Rhinolophus ferrumequinum: one gene and its partner. The protein of the gene in region 1 binds, or shares a complex with, the protein of each later gene. Links are inferred from orthologs where the notes say so. Each region holds a gene or a part of one and is shown on either strand. Other genes may lie near its edges.

Evidence for each region. Proteins that work in one complex are often made in the same cells at the same time.
Region 2: the proteins of SAMHD1 (region 1) and DCAF1 are in contact, whole or in part, in a crystal structure (PDB 4CC9), measured with the Homo sapiens proteins. The link is inferred for Rhinolophus ferrumequinum from reciprocal best matches to the Homo sapiens genes SAMHD1 and DCAF1. Residues at the interface, in NP_056289.2 of Homo sapiens: Ser616, Arg617, Val618, Gln619, Lys622; in NP_001336097.1 of Homo sapiens: Asn1090, Glu1091, Asp1092, Thr1114, Gln1116, Asn1132.

The regions. Positions count from the first base shown.
Region 1 is NC_046306.1:18,855,788-18,864,512, reverse strand, and holds the start of SAMHD1 (deoxynucleoside triphosphate triphosphohydrolase SAMHD1), read right to left. Parts: upstream 3,478-8,725; 5' UTR 3,347-3,477; coding exon 3,136-3,346; intron 1-3,135.
Region 2 is NC_046300.1:5,573,560-5,581,450, reverse strand, and holds the start of DCAF1 (DDB1- and CUL4-associated factor 1), read right to left. Parts: upstream 3,114-7,891; 5' UTR 2,885-3,113; intron 1-2,884. UniProt on the Homo sapiens protein: Acts both as a substrate recognition component of E3 ubiquitin-protein ligase complexes and as an atypical serine/threonine-protein kinase, playing key roles in various processes such as cell cycle, telomerase regulation and histone modification.

The DNA.
Region 1 (8,725 bases):
GAATGTCTTAATTTTCTACTAGGAATGTCTTAATTAGACAACTATATCAAGAGTTTTTTTTTTTTTATAAATCAGGTGAAAATTTTTTAATTACTTGAGTAAATTATTTGCAAGGAAGTCCAGTTGCAAAACAGGCGCTTCCTCCTAAAGCAGGTGAGATTTGGGGTGAGGGAAGAACACTCAGGTCAAAACCACAGCCTCAGCAGATGCCAAAGTGTTGATTTAGTTCTAAACCTGTGCATTTAGTTCTAAGCCATTTAGTTCTAAACCACACTACTCTGTGCTTTTCTTTTTTTAAATTTTTTATTGGGGAACAGCATATTTCTCCAGGACCCATCAGCTCCAAGTCGTCCTTCAATCTAGTTGTGGAGGGCACAGCTCAGCTCCAAGTCCAGTGGCCGTTTTCAGTCTTAGTTGCAGGGTGCGCAGCCCACCATCCCATGTGGGAACCCACAACCTTGTTGAGAGCTTGCGTTCTAACCAACTGAGCCATCCGGCCGCCCCAACCTACATCATTTTTAATGGCTGTCTTGTGTTCTACAATATAGATGTACCATAACATATTTAATCATTTTCTTCTGAGCTTTATGTTCTTCACCTCTAGAATGAGTATTACTGAACCTATGTCACAGAGTTATAGAGTTGTTGTAAAGATTTTATAAAATATGTGAAATGCATAAAATAGTACTTCACACAAAGTAAACACTCAATAAATGTTAGCCATCATTATTATTTACCACTATTCCTGATGGATACTTAAATTATTTCTACTTTTTTTGCTATTTATAACCAATGGTTAAAAGAATAATCTGGAGTACGTTTCTTTGAACACCTATAAAATTATATCTACAAATTTTTATAAGTGAAATTTCCTATAAGTAAAAAGGTATTGCCAAACTCTCCATGGTTGAGCCAATGACATTTTCATCAACTTTATTGAGTTACCCATTTCGTCTATTATCAATCATTGAATATTTTCCAATCTAAATTTAAAAATCAGTATTTTTTAAAAATTACTCTTGAGACTGAATGTCTTTTTCTGTGTTTACATTGGCTGATTGTCAATTGTTTGCTCCTGTGTTTTGCTCATTTTTCTGTTTTTGTTTTCCTCTTGCTTAGTTGATTTTACAACTTTGGTTATGCTCTCCAATGTTTTTTTTTTTTTAATTGGTTTGTTTGTTCTCTTATTGTTGAGGGGAATCCAATGGTTTTTGATGAGAACACTTGTTAAGGTATGAATTCTGGCATGAATTGTGGAGTCCACAGACCTAACCTTAAAATCCAGCTCAGATTTTTTTCTAGCTGTGTGACCTCTGGTAAGTTACTTAACATCTTTGGATCTCAATCACATCATCTGTGAAAAAATATGGATCATGGTCTCTAAATTTCAGGGTTCCTGTGAGATTGTATTCCATGAGGAAAGGGACTCAGCACCTTGTGCTTAGTTTTGTCAAATAAAAACAAATCTGGGCTTAGATGGGGGAGACTTTAATTAGAAATGCTGCAATAGGGAGAGTACTCCAATCTCAGACATCCACAAATGGCTCTAAATCAAACAGAAAAAGGTGTTGTTTTTTGTACAGAGGGGAAAGCAACCTCAATGAGGTCTGATAGGACAGTGTCCTGCTGTGGTCAGCTGATTCCCAGGAGAAAATGATCAGGGGGCATGTTCCACTTTTTTATTTAGTATATGCTCAGTTTTGGAGGCAAGCAAGAGTTGAGGGGCCTACAGGAGAGAGAGAAGCCTAACTAAAGTTTGGTCAAGACAAAGCAGGCAGTCCGAAATGAGCAACTGGTCAGTTTTTACCAACGACAAGCACACAGTGTCTTCTATTAACATCAGACTGTGGGCTCAAGAGAGCAGATCATTCTGAAGGCTGATGAATGAATACCTGCCGAACAGCACTGAAACAGAGAGCCCACAGAGCCAATCACGTTTAGGAGACAGAACATATAAAACTACTTCATCCCCACCTGTGGCTCTTCAAAAAAAATTTCCATCCCAGCCGTGGAGGAAAATAAAAGGGGGAAAGGGAAAAAAGAAAAGTACAATTTCTATACCCATCAAGTTATCTTGAAGTCTTGAACCACTGAAGTTCCTCCTACCTGACTCCCCCATCCTAGCAAACGGGGCTCCCCTCGACAGCTGCACAAGTTTACAGCATGTGCCAATCACACCAATCTTCCTGTTGAACACCTCAGGGGATAAGGCAGGGTAAGTGTCACACCCACTGTGGGAATCTGAGTCGAGTTCAAGCGACCAGTAAAGTCACTTGAAACTCACAACCTGCACACTTCCCCATATTTGGGGGCCACGCGATGGGCTGCTGGGAATTCAGTGGTCAACTGAACAACCCTCTGTGTCCAGATTTAGAAAAAGAAAGTGTTTTTGGACAAGAAAACATGGTGGCCACCAAGCTCTGCTGGTCCAGTGAAGAAACATGGATTGAGCCCTCAGGTGGGAGGCAATGGTTGGCTAAGAAGATTTAGGAGGAAACCAACGTGTCCCTTCTTCTCTTTTAGGAAATCCCCAAGTTTCGGGAAAGGGAGGGTAGGTTTGTGGGAAAACAGAAACTGAAAAGCATCAAAACACCCTTGAACATTCATGGCAAGTGTTCAAGGAGCTGCTGTAGCTCAGGCGAGCCTGAATGACAGCAGCCCTCCCCCCCAAAGCGGGGGAAACGTTCTGCTACCTAAAAGAGGGCCCCGAGTCTGGCCTGTCCAGCGCTGGGGTGGCAAGTTCCTGGAGAAAGCCACCAGACTGCCCCCCGCAGGTTCGCACTCCCCAAAGTCTGCTTTCTTCCTCAGGGCCCCCAAGCCCGGAGGCCCCCCGCCTCAGGTCCGCCTCCTCTGGTGTCTCTCGCGTCAGCGCTCCCTTTCCCACCTCAGGCCCCCGTCTCAGGAGGGCTCTTTGCCTCAGGTCACCCCGCCTTGTGCACCCCTCTTCCGCCCCCCCCCCGTCCCCCTCACACCTCAGGTCCACCCCTTCTGGTGCCTCCCGCGGCAGCTCTCGCTTCTCTGTTTTGGGTCCTCTTTGAGGGCCTCTGCTCCCTGCCCCGGCGCGCCCTCCCTCAGGCCTGCTGTCCGCGCCTCGGGTCGCCGCCCCCCAGCCCCTCAGCCCTCCAGCCCTGCTACCTCGGATGCGGTCCAGCAGTCCCGGATCTCTGAAGCCATCGCGCTTTAGAAAGTCGCACACCTGCTCCGAGTCCCAGGTCCTGTGGTCGGGGTGGAGTTTGGGGGCCGGGGACACCTCTGCCGCAACAGCGGAAGGGGTGTTCGGCTGGGTTCTTGGGCTGCCATCAGTTCGGGGCCGTTTGGGGGTCCGCTCAGAGTCGGCTCTCTCCATGGCTACACTCAGCGCCCGGCACAGCACACTCAAGAACCGCGGTGCTTGGCTCGCGCGCAGGCGCACTGACAGCCCGACACGGGCGGCCAGTCCGCTCCGCGTTGCCAGCCTACTGGCCTCCCGCGCAGGCGCACAGACAGCGCAGACCTGGGGGCCACACAGCTTAGCCACTAAAGGCACCTGGCCCCTGCGCAGGCGCAATGACAGTCTAATGGTCCTAAATCTGGCCCCGGCGTTTACGCGAAACTGATCAGCGAGCAGCAGAACAAAGGGTGGTGCTAATAAGGGCGAGAGCGAGGAAAGAGTGTTCTCAGAACCCATGGACGTCCAACCACCACCGGGAGCAGGGGCTCTTATGGTGAAGTAAGGGTACCTGCCTCCAAACGAGTACCCCAGGTTTACTTGTGTTTCATATGCCCCAAACTTAAACCTAAAAGGCCATCAGGCTGACAGCATCTTCCCAATTAAGAGAAAAATGGTCGAGAAGCTGAAATGGAAAAACTTGGAATGATTTCAAATCTGATGTGAAGGTGACTTCTTGCATTTTACAAGTTCTACGGTATTGCTGGGCAGTGAGAGGGCCCCAGGGATGCCTATCTGTGTATTCTTAGCCTATCTTCAGTTTTCCATACAGGAGCTGACTTCAAGCTTCTCTCCAAAAGAGTCCTCAACCCCCTCTCCATCCCAACCCCCTGCCCAGAGGAAAGGAATACTACCTGCTGGTAACAGCCTGTGAAAATGGCAGGCATCTCCTCCTCACTTTAACCGCTCTGGGGCAGTATCCAAACTTTCCTATAAATCCTGGTCCATGCAATTAACTGGCAGAAGTACTACCACTACTAAAGCCAATACACCTTCCTATCAACCCAGCCATAGACCCATCTAGGGCATAAAGGATGAATGAGGCAGATAGTTATCAAGCCGTATGAACAAGTAGGCCAGTGGTAAGCAAAATATTCTTAGCAAACACTTAGAGCTTTACTGTGTGCCAGGCAATGATCTAAGGGATTTACAAATATTTATTCATTTAAGTATCACAACATTAGGATGTAAGAACTGAGGTACAGAAAAACAAGTAACTTGCCTAAGTCACACATCGAGGAAGTCATGAAACCTGGATTCAAACCCAGGCAATCTAGCCTGGTTCCAAAATCCATGTTCTTGCCAACAATTGCTTGTTAATGGCAGTTTCAACATAAAAGTATTTTATATTAATTAACCCAAATTTTTAAATTGCTTCTTTGTCCCATAGACCCATGGGGGAAAGTATAGAGAGATGTACTTGCCCTCTATCTGCACAGAAGGGTCAGGCCTACAAAAACACACCCTTAAACCCCAGAATAATTTGAGGAAAGAAGATAATTGTCAAGATTTGTGAAACCAAAACAAGAGACCACAAATAGCATATGCGCGAAAGACTTATATTTGAACTTGCAAATGGCTGGTTTGAAAACTTGTGTTCTTAAGACCCGTGGGAAAGCCTGCCCTGACAGCAAGGTTTCCTGGGCAGTAGGTAATAGAAGTAGGGTTTTATGTTTAATCAGCTGGGTTTACTCAAAAGCAATTGGTTTTGAGAACTTTACTTTTCTATTTGTTTTTGTTTGTTAAAGATCATAATTTAATGCCATATTTATTATTTTCCCTCTAATCCCCTACTTTCTAGGGGCCATAGATTTGTACAAGGTGGTTGATTACTTGCTCAAGGTCACATGGCTGGTAAGTGACAGAATCAAGATTCAAAGCTGTCTCTAAAACTTGAACACTTTCCAGTTTTCCACTTCATTTAATTCCACGTACAGTCCTGGTGATCCTAATCCATCCAGTCACTCCCCAACCTGGGAACAAATACCTACTAGACACAGACCCTGTTCTCTGGTCCTACTGATAGAAATGAATGCTTAAGCTCTCCTCTGACCTCACCATGTTAGGACTAGAAGACTATGAATTCAATTCATTTAAGGCCCGTTGCTTGATAACCTTGAACACTCCCAGCGATTCTTCTCTGCCCTTCCCCAGCTACCTTCCACCACCCAGATGAGGTAGACAATTTTATTTCTGGCAGCATTAATTTTGTGGTTTCACATCTTTCCGCAGCTTCCTCTTCAATCAGTGCTGTTGGTTCTCAATGCCAGCTATCACCATTACCTAGTCCTTCATTTACTTCTTCTTCATCCTTTACTGAACCTAACCTCCTCAAGACATTCTTTTTTTCCATCTTCCCAAATTCCAAAGCCAAGCCGAAATTCTTAAAAAAAAAAATTTGATTTTTTTTTTTTTTTAAGAATTGATTTTCTTGTCTCCTACAAATAATGCTCAAGAAAGAAATGTGTATATCTGCACATGCAGGTCCAAAGATCACCTCTTGGTATGTGCCTCATAGGTCTTTTTCTTTTTTTCTTTTTCCTCATAAGTCTTTTTCTGTTCATAGGTATAGAAATTTATCTCCAGGTCTGGCAAGTCTTTGAAAAAAGGAGACCTTGCAAAATGACAATAGCTACCATATTTGAGTACCTACTATGAGTCAGATATTCTACTTGTGCTTTACTTTATAGCCATAATTTCTAATCCTCTTAACAACCTCCTTAGATGGGTATTATACTAGTTGGGTTTATTTGGACATTAATACATTCATTCATTCAATAAATATTAATATTTACTGGGTACTTACTAATTTGCCTGGCACATCAATGAGCAAAAGAAACAAAAATCCCTTCCCTAGTGAAACTTATATCCTAGTGAGGGGAGACTGGCAGTGAATAATGCTATAATTAACAATAATAAACATGTTAGAAGTTGGTGCTATGGAAAACATTTTTTTTTAAAGAGGAGTGGAGGGGGATAGGGTCACAATTTCAGATAGGGTGGTCATAATAGGCCTTTTATGAAAGTAACATTTAAGCAGAGACTTGACGGAAATGAAGGAGTCAGCAGTATCTGGAGGAAAACCACTCCAAAGAGAACAGCAAAGGCTTCGAAAGTGCAAGGGCTCTGAAGCAAGAGCACGCCCAGAGTTGAGAAACAGCAAGGAGGCCTGGGTGGATTGGCAAAATGAGTAAAGGAAAAAGCGCAAAGAGACGAGGTCAAAGAGAGTACAAACCATGTAGGAATATGAGGGCTACAAGCTGCAAGCAGCTCCGCGGCTCCACATCTCGAGCTGAAGGAAAGACTCTGCTCCTCCAGTTCCAACAGAAAATTGTAAGGGGATGACTTCAACAAGCTTGGATTGTATTCAATCCATCAGATCACATGTGAATCTTTGGGTGAGAGGGCAAGGTCTTGTATCAGGAAGAAGAAAATTAGTTTTTAAACCAGTGTGAGTTGGATTGTCTCTGGTGTATGTATTTTGAATTTTCTCTCATTTCTAGCTGAAAATATGGCTGGTACACTTCACAACTTCAACATCTGACAGGGTTCTCTTCAGGTATCCAGTGTTACCTGACTGATTTTTTTCTTGTAGTTACGCTTGTATCCAGTCCAATCTAGTCTGATTGCTCATCACTCATGCCCCACTGTCCCTAGTGAATACCAACGTCAGCCAAGTTCACAAAGATTCTTTTCTCTGAGAAATCCCTTGCCATTCACTGAGCGGACCCCAGTGTTACGGACTGACTGAATTGTGTCCCCACCTCACCAAATTATATGTTGGAGCCCTAGCCCCCAATGTGACGGTATTTGGAGACAGGGTCTTTAAAGAGATAATCAAGGTTAAATGAGGTCAGATGAGTGGGGCTGTAATCCATAAGTAGGACTGGTATCCTTATGAGAAGATACACCAGAGATCTCCTTTTCCCTGTGCACACATAGAGGAAAGGGCAAGTGAGGACACAGCAAGAAGGTGGCCATCTGGAAGTCGGGAAGAGAGGTCTTACCATAAACCAACTGTGCTGGCACCTTGATCTTGGATGTCCAGCACCAGACTGTGAGAAAATGAATTTCTGTTGTTTAAGCCACCCAGCCTGTGGTATTGAAGCAGGGGGTCTGGTTGGGACTCCATAATAGAGGTCTCCCTGTGTCCCCGGCCTCACCTTTCCTTAACCTATAGTTGAACAATAAATCTTCCCCTGTGGCTTGAGCACAGAATGCCCCGGAATGCTCCACCCCTGTCCTGGTCCCTTGCCTTAGAAGATTACCCTCATGATTAATGCCTGTATGGTTGCTGATTACAAACTCGATAGCCCAGAATTCTTCCCAGGCTACTCCCCTCACCGTCACTGGCTTGCTGAGGCCACCAAAGAGTTACGAGGACAAGGCGAAGCACCATGAAGAAGAACAATCCCCCAGGACCATCATGCAGTCTCTGTTAGAAGGCCCTGATTTTCCTTTAAATACCCTAAGCTGGTCTGAGACTGTGAAGGTAAAGCAGGGCCCCGCTGGGCCCCCTGTACTCAGCATGCCTCCGGGATGCCCTGCCCCCCATCCGGGCTGGTTTCACTCTATTTGGCCCATAGTGAAAGAGTAAATCACACCCCTATGGCTTGAGCTCAGAATGTCCCCGGGGTGCCCTGCCCTGTTTTGGCTCCTGGCCCCAGAGAATCAGCTTGTAGATGCTTGCTAATTACAAACTCTATCGCTTAGCATTTTTCCAGGGTACTCCCCCACCATTTCTAGACCGCTGACACCACAAGATATACGATGACAAAGGGAGGCATCATGAAAGGAAAACAGACTTCTGAGATGTCATACAGCCTCTGGGAGAGTGACCAGATTTTCCCTTAAATACCCCCAGCTGGTCTGTGAATGTAAGGCAGTTTTTGGAGGTGTTTACCTGCTGCCTTCTCAAACCAGTGGTTATCTGATAAACACTCTATGTCCCAACTCCTGTGTGGGTCTATTGGCTAAACGGGGCAGGTAGCGTGAGCCCCAGACACCTTTGGTTTCCAGTTACAAAGGCAGTTTTGAAGGTGTTAACCTGCTTCCTTCTCAAACCACTTGTTATCTGATAATAAACACTTACTCTATGACCCAATTCCTGTGTGGGTCTGTGGGGACAGAGCCAGGAGAGCAGTATCCAGACTCTCCGACCTCATGTGGAAAGGTGCTGGCTCGGGTGGTAGATGGCCATCCGCTGTGACTAGTTGGCCATCAGTTGTTACCAGTTAGCCATTAGCCACTGATGTAACTGTAACTGCCGTGGCTGAGCTAGCAAGCGCAGATTGCAGTTAGCAGGTGGGTTGGTTGGCAGAGAAGCGGAGGTCGGATTGCGGATCGTGTGGTTCCTGCTTCTTGTTGTAAGGCTTGCGGCGAGATAATGAGGCTAGTCAGGCAGGTTGAGAAAAGTGAGTGCTTTATTCTGCGCTCGTGGGCGAGGTTCACCGGTCCCGAAGACGGGGGCGGCGAAGTTGCGCCCAGAGTAGAGGGAGGGAGGCATATATGCGGTCT
Region 2 (7,891 bases), on another chromosome or scaffold:
CTATAGAGAGAAAATATGGCAAAATATTAACAACTGTTGACTCTGGATGGATAAACAAGTGTTTGTTTTCCTATTCTTTCAACGTTTTAATATGTTTGAAAATTTTCATAATAAAAAGTTGGAAAAAATTAAGAAGCATGTCCTTTCCTACTTTGACCAACTCTAGATCAATATATTGTTAAGTGAGAAATGTGTGTCCATTTGTGTGTCCCTCAAATAAGATATCCCTGAAAGAATACACAAGAAATGGAGACTATCTATTACTTTTGTGGCAGGTACTATATTTTGTATAATGCACACTTTTTTGCCCAAATTTGTGAGGGAAAAATAAGGATGCACATTATACATGGGTAGTACTAATTCCGTATCTATATAAATGCTTTTAATTCTTTTATTTATGCTTATGAGTTAAAAGTTAACTCTAGAAATCAATAATGATACCCGTATGCAAAATAATACCCTGGAATATGATGATTGGTTTTACTGAACTTACAATGAACTTGCAACAACGAACTTGCAACAATGAAGAGTTCTTGGCCTTCTATGATGTGTAAACATCATAAATTTGTTACCAGTACATAAAATTTCTCGTACCTTGTACCTGTTCTTGTGTTTTGCAATTATTTGTTACATAAAATTTCTTCTACCGTAACATGTTAAAAAAATAAATGCTAAAATTCCTTTATAATACAAAAAAATACCTAAATGTAAATAAATAAAAATTTAAACAAGAGAGTTTTTTTCCCCTAAAAGTTTGGGCCAAAAATGTGGGTGCACATTATACACGGGAGCACATTATACAAGGCAAAATATGGTAACTGATTTTCTAAGGGATAAAGGTAGGAGATTTTTCATCATCCATTATCATCCTAGCTCTACCATTTTTCAACTATTTTGTAACCTTTTGTAACTTTTTAATTAAACCATAAAATCTGTCCTCTTCTAACACAGAGTACTGAACAGCCTATTCCGCAGAAATTGCCCCGAAGCCTAAAATGAAGTCCAGGTTGAGGAAAGTTCCCTTAAGGTTACAATCCTGAAACAAGTGTTTGAAAGCATTCTTCTTCATTTAAAAACAAAACAAACACACAAAACTGGAAAAAAATCCAGGTTTGGAGCATCAAGTAAAATTTACCCAGTAAGGGCCAGCCAGGTGGCTCAGGTGGTTGGAGCGCCATGCTCCTGACGCGAAGGTTGCTGGTTCGACTCCCACATGGGGCAGTGAGCTGCGCCCTCTACAGCTAAGATTGTGAACAACAGCTCTCCCTGAAGCTGGACTGCCATGAGCAGCCGGAGGTCGGCGGTAGCTGCTGTGTTATGCCAGGAATGGCTGGTGGCCAGTATGAGTGGTGGCCATCCTGAGCGGCCACCAGCATGGGCCAGGGAGCTGCGTCCTACACACTAGACTAAGAAACAACAGCTTGAACCGGAGTGGGGTGGGGGAGGCAGAAGAAGGGGGGGAAATTTACCCAATAATTAGTATAAAATGAGATCATATATAACAATTTTCTATTACTGCCTATGACCACTTCCTTTACAAAAAAGAGACATAATTGGTTAAAAACCAACTTCAATCACTTCAAGCTAACATGTGGTTCATTCCACCAGATTCCTCCTCAATTAAAAGTAACAACCGTACAAGTAAAACAGCAAAAAACTACACTCAGCAACTACTCAAGAGATTTTGAGCACACGATTTCCTTTCCATTCCCCAAATTCTGTATTACCTCCTTAACATCAAAAACTATATCGCCTGCTGAAAATGGATAATGAATAACTGCTATATACAAAACCCAAACCTTGAAAGCATCAAGCAGAAAAACACAAATCAATTCCTAAAGACTCTAAATATAAACTTACATAAATCTTAAAGGTAAACTCCAGTAAACTGGAAAATTACAGGATGACACGCCAATGAACCTCTCACTCTACATTAACAAAGCGTTTAGAACAGGAAGATGCTACTAATATAAATTATTAAAGCATCTTATTAAAACATGCAGACTAATTAAAAGGCTCCATTGAAAACACACGGTGGAAAAACTGAGGCCAAAGTGATGTGGAAAGGGATGAGCTATTTGGGACTCAAAAAGTACTACTCCAGATGCTCCAAAAAAACTACCACTTCAACAAATGCGAAACTCGAGCGCTTTTGTTTTTCTGCCCTAAGAGAAAGCCGTCTAGCAAGAGAAGAGGGATTGAGAAAACGCCTCTGACATCCCAGTTTGAAACGACTATAACCGCAGAGACAGGCTCCCGGGAAGCTTGGCGGGCACTCCGAGGTTTGGCTCCACGCTGCAGGAACCACACACCTCTGTCCACCCCGCCCCTCCACCACGGGGGTGGGAGGAGTGCCCGGAAAGCTCCGCCCTTCGCCTGGTCCGAGAGCCAGGCGGGTGCAGGCGGAGGTAGCACGAGGCCGAGGGAGGCGAAAGCCCGCCCAGGTGACTGGAGCTGGAGGCGGAGACAGTCTGGGAAGGGGGCCGCCGTAGGGCAGAAAGACGGAGCCCCCCAGCCCGTACAGAACGGAGACTGGGAAGAAAAAATGCACCAAGGGGACGAAGAGGAGCCCCTCCTACAGGTAGGGGCGGGCACACCCCTGCCCCCCATTCCGGGCGGAAGAGTTACTCTCGGGAAGCTTCTTTTGCGGACTGGAGGAAGAACGTGGAGGCCCCGCCCCCGAGCCAAGAATCTGGAGGAGGAAAAGCCCTGTCAGGCCTCCGGCCCAGCCTCCCTGGCGGCCCGGCCCGCCCCCTCCCCGCCGGCGGCCCAGGCAGGTGCCGCCCCTCCCCCAGCCCGGCGCCCACTCTCCCGCCTGCGGGGCCACGCGCTCTGTCTCCTCGCGCCCCTCCCAGAGAGCCATCTTCCTCCCGGCCCCACTCACCTTCCCGGGCGGCTCCGCCGCTCCCCCCTGACCCCGCCAGCGGCCACAGTTCACACACACCGCCTCAGGTCCTGCACTCACTCTCCCTCACTCACACACAGCGCGACCACGGGTCCAGAGCGGCCCACATATTATGCGTCACTCGCATGTTACGTGCCCCGCGCGCGCGTCCCCCGATTTGGCGCGAGGCTCGCTAGCCGGAGGCGGGAGGAGAACGCCAGCGCGAGCGGAGGACGAGCCCCAGAGCCGCCTGGGAAATGAAGTTCCGCTTCTAGGGGCGGGGACCACCAGTCCTAATTGGAGCAGGAGCACATCGTCCCCGCGCGTTGACTTCTGGTATTTGTAGGTTTTTAGGATTAACGCGAACTGACGTTTACTCATTGGCTGTTTCCGAAGGCGGAAGCGAAAAGTGAGGAACCAGACTCCTTCCAAGCCAAGGCTATGAGTGCTGGATCCCTTCTCAGTACCTTATTATGCCCCGTATGACAGCGGAAAGCCTTCGTTTCATTCTCCCATTGCTCCATTGTTACTAGAACATACCAGGATCTAAGACATTTCCCACAAGCATCTCAGAAAGCACAGCACTCATTAAACAGAAGTCTAGTTTTTCTTTCTCTTTCCGTTCAAGACCTGGTCTGTAGGATCAATAAATATTTATCCTAGGTATTACATGTGAGGCAGAGAAAAGGAAAAAAATCAAAAGGCCATAAGTTAAGGCAGGGCTGACCTCAGAGGTCATCTAATTTAAATCCTTTATTTTGGGAGGCTCAGAGAGAGTAAGTGACTTGCCTAACATCACACAACCAATTAGCAGTAGAACTAGAATGACTCCTAACTGACTCAGGGATCCCTTTGTGGGGACATGAAAGATAAACGTGGACAGCTGAGCAGAATCTCTTCCTAACAAGACCCTCCCCAGACTATCTCTCTGGGAAACCTAAGCAAGTTTCTGTGCATTTCTATGGAGTCCTCAGAGCCAACACTTTCACATGGGGAACACGGGACACAGCAAACTTGCTGCCATGGTCAGGTCCTACAGCTAGTCAGAAGCTAGTGAAAGCCTGAATGCTAGGTCTCCATTCCTGATTGGACCCCATTCCTCTCTTCCCAGAAAAACGATACCTCCCTCCTTCACTTAAGTGTGTAACTTGGAGCAGCTGTTCAGGCACAAAATCCTAGAATGTGGGGTGGCAGTGCCGCAGACATGTCACTTCTCTGCAACCCTTTCACCTGCCATGACAGAGCTCTCTTCTCTGCTTCTGGACTTTTGCCTGTATCAATAATGGCCACTATCATTTCCTTTGACGTTACAGCAGGCTCAGTTCTGAGCCAAGTGTTTTACCTACACTTTTTCATATAACGCTCACTATCACCCCACAGGGTAGATTACAGTCAGCGACCTATACAGAAGAGAAATCTGAGCATAGAGAGGTGGTCCAAGGGGTGGGTCCCATTTGTAGGTCCAGAGGCCGGACGCCTAACTTTGCTGTGCCTGTCCTCTATCACTCCTTCAGCTGACTTTCCTGTCATGCCTCCTTAGGCCATGATCCCAAAATGCATAAGGATGGAGTGTTCAAGCCCACTGCCTAGGGTCCTGAAAGGCAGAGTCCTTGTGGGAACCCCTGGTCCAGTTCACGTGTTCCTGGCACAGCCTCAGTCTGACACCAGATGGCACTGCTTCCCTTCAAAAACCCAGTCTGGGGCCCTGCGTCTGTAATGGGAGTGAGGGAGTTTGGAGAAACCAGGGCCCCGGAGGCTGGGGAAGGAAGGGCCTGTCTGGGAGCTGCTCCCTCCAGAATCTCTGCTCAGTAACATCTGCAGCCCCTCCAGCCTGCCAACACAAACACACACACACAGCCACACATACACACACACACACACACACACACACACACACACAGCCACACACCTGCAGGCAGTCCCAGACCCCCACTCCGGGAAGGGGAAAGGACAGCCCCCAGGTTTTCTGGGCTGCACACACATTCCAAGCATGCTCGCTGACACGTTTCACAGGGTGGGCATTTTCACATTGAAGTCCACACAAGCACAAAGCTACGGCAACTCCAGACCCACCTGCCGGGCTCGGTCTGGCACATTGCTTCTGAATCATTGGCAAGAGATTCCTTGGCCTCTTTGAAAGAACATCTCTGGACCCTGGACCCTCGCCTCTCCCCACCCCGGTCTGCCTGTGCACCTCCCCATGTGTGCCTCAGAAAGAAGCAGACACCATCCAAAAGGGCAAGGAGTGGTGTCTGCAGGGCTGCCCCGTGACAGAGAAAGGGCAAGAGCAGTCCAGCCCTGGTCCCAGCACCAAGGGCTACAGACTCAGGTGTGCTCCACCTGCCTGCAAGTAAGGGCGTGCACGGGGGTGGGAGTACCCATGCCATGGGTAGGAAAGTCAATAGCCCCAAACCCTCTGGGCCTCGGGGTGCTCCTCCCCTCTGCCCTCCTCCCTGTCACCTTTCCACCACCCCTTCCCTCCCACCACCTACTTCCAGGCTCCCCAGCCCATCCCCATCCTGGTGCCACCACGACCCCTGTACCTCCTCCTGCAACTCCCTGGGGCCAGGAGGCAAGGCCAGCTGTTCCACATCCACTCTCACTGTGCTGGTGGCTGAACAAGATTGCTGCTACAAGTGTCCAGGAGTCACAGGAGCCACCAACGGGCTGCCAGGCCATGGAGACCCTGGCCTAGACAAAGAGGGAATTCTAATCATTCACTCAGGGCCCTCTCCATGCCCAGGAGCCCCTATGCCTCCTAGACAAAAATGGAACACTATTCCTATTGCTCAATATGTATGCAAAGCAACCACTCCTGTATGACTGCATGCTCGTCCACCACTCTTGTTTTACAGAGGGAGAAATTGAAGGTTCCACCAAGACAACAGTTTCAGCTGCACCTTGTCCAGGGGCCACGGCAGCTGCAGTCTCCGGAAGGCAGTCACCACCTCCTGCTTCAATGGGCACAACTTCATAGAGGGGCCTGAGGCTCAAATGGGGAATGGATCAGCTCCCATGTACCAGGGCCCCTGCCAGAGGCAGGAGCCCCCAGGAGAGCCTCTTGCAACATTTAGGGCATACTTACCCTTACAAAAAAGTATTGTTTATCTGAAATTAAAATTGAACTGGTCATTTTGTACTTTATCTAGAAACCCCACCTCAGAACCACTGCTCAGTCACAGACCCCAAGGACTCCCCTCCTGCGGCCTCTAGGGCCTCATTTAAATCATCTGCAAAATAGTTGGAAGCAAATCGGAGCAGCTGCCTCCCAATGGGTCTCATTAAAGATTAGACAGACCAAGCTGTCAAGGCTCCCTTATACAAAAGCTGATGATCTAGGTGATAGCAGGCTCAAATTCTTCCCTTCTACCCTTCTCTTTTTTTAACCCTATCACTGACAGTCAGAGTTGACAAAATAGTTTTTCCTCCTCATTGAGAAGAGTTTGCAGAAGGAGACAGGTCAGCAGACGAGTCCAGCTTTGAAGGCAAACAGACCTTCCTTCTAATACCAGTGCTTCCATTTAGCAGCTGTGGGACCTTGGTTTAATAACTACACCCCTTGAACATCAGTTTCCCTGGCTGAAAAATGGGAATGACATACCTCCTTTCTAGCATTGTTCCAGGGTTAAATGTGATGATGCATGTAAAGTGCTTAGCTTGGAGCCTGGCACACAGGAAGTGCGAGCTAAGTGATGTTTTGATTATGCTTCGGCCAGGGCTGAAGAACTCCCCACTGCAGTTCTCCAGGACTACCTCAGCCCTGGCTAGTTTCCCTTTGCCCCCAGTGCTGCCGGCTGGAGGAGCTCAGACTTTCCTGATTTCAATGAGAAATGAGTCCCTTACCAGAAAAATCCTAGGGGACATTTTCAGAAGCACTGGGAAGTATTGGAGTTACCACTCCTGGGGATCACCTGTCCTCTCTCTGTCCTAGCCCAGAACTGAAAGCTGAGTGGGTGAGAGAGTGGATTTAAGAGGATCTGCTCTTAGACCTCCTCATGCCCGCAAGGGCTACCACCAATCCAGGGTGAGGGCAGTCAAAGCCAAGGAGCCCCTGGGATATGAAATCAGACATGTCACCCTCCACAACCCAGCCATTGACCCTGCTTCCTGCTGGCAGGAAGCATCTGGAACTCCGGCCCAGAGCACACTCACTTCCTTCCCTGGGGTTCTCTGGCAGGGTGGTGATGTCAATCAAAGTAGAGGCAGACGGGATGGCCCGTGGACCCTCACTGTGGACCTGCCCAACACAAAGAAGGGCTGTAGCATGAAGAGGACCAAACTCTGCCCTCTAGGTACCCCCAGGACCTGTCAGATCCCCCAGCCTGGCTGTCAGTTATCATTCCTGCTGACTCCTGGGGCCCTGCTCTTCCCAGAGGCTATGCTCCGTGTAAGTTAGAGGTTGAGGAACAGGTGCAGGGAAGCTAAGGAGAAACAAGCCCAGAACTCTTTGGCCCCAGGTTTCTGGAATCATAAATCCTTCCAGGAGTCAGCATTGGAGAGAGGAGCCCTTGGATTTTTGGCAGTGCCCGTTGGTAGCCGCAAGACCTTTCTACAGGATTCAGGGATCTCTGGCCTGACCCATTTGTAGGTGCCCTGGGCACTGCTGAGTCCTCCCACGATCAGTTCTTTGAAAAAAGCCTAGAGAAGAAGGGTCTTGTGTAACAGAGGGAGGCTACTCTGACCCCCAACTCAGAGGTCACAGGCCCACCACCGCCACCACTTGGAGTAACCGCTTCCTGTCCCTGCCCAAACCTGGCTGCAATGGGCCTGGACCTTGGAGAGGTATTGCCAGATACAGCCAGGAGTGCCCAGTTAGGCCCGGGAGCCAAAGCCATCAAGGAGAGGTGTTTCTAAGGGTAGAGGGTGTCCTGGCTCTTACTGTGAGTCAGTTTCTCTTCATTCCCTCAGAGGTGGGGGTGTCTGTCCAGGAAAAGTCATGTGATGTTACTGGGGGAAGCCCCTCTGCCCAGGTCCTACTTTGCCAGGCCCAAACTTGTCACAGATAGC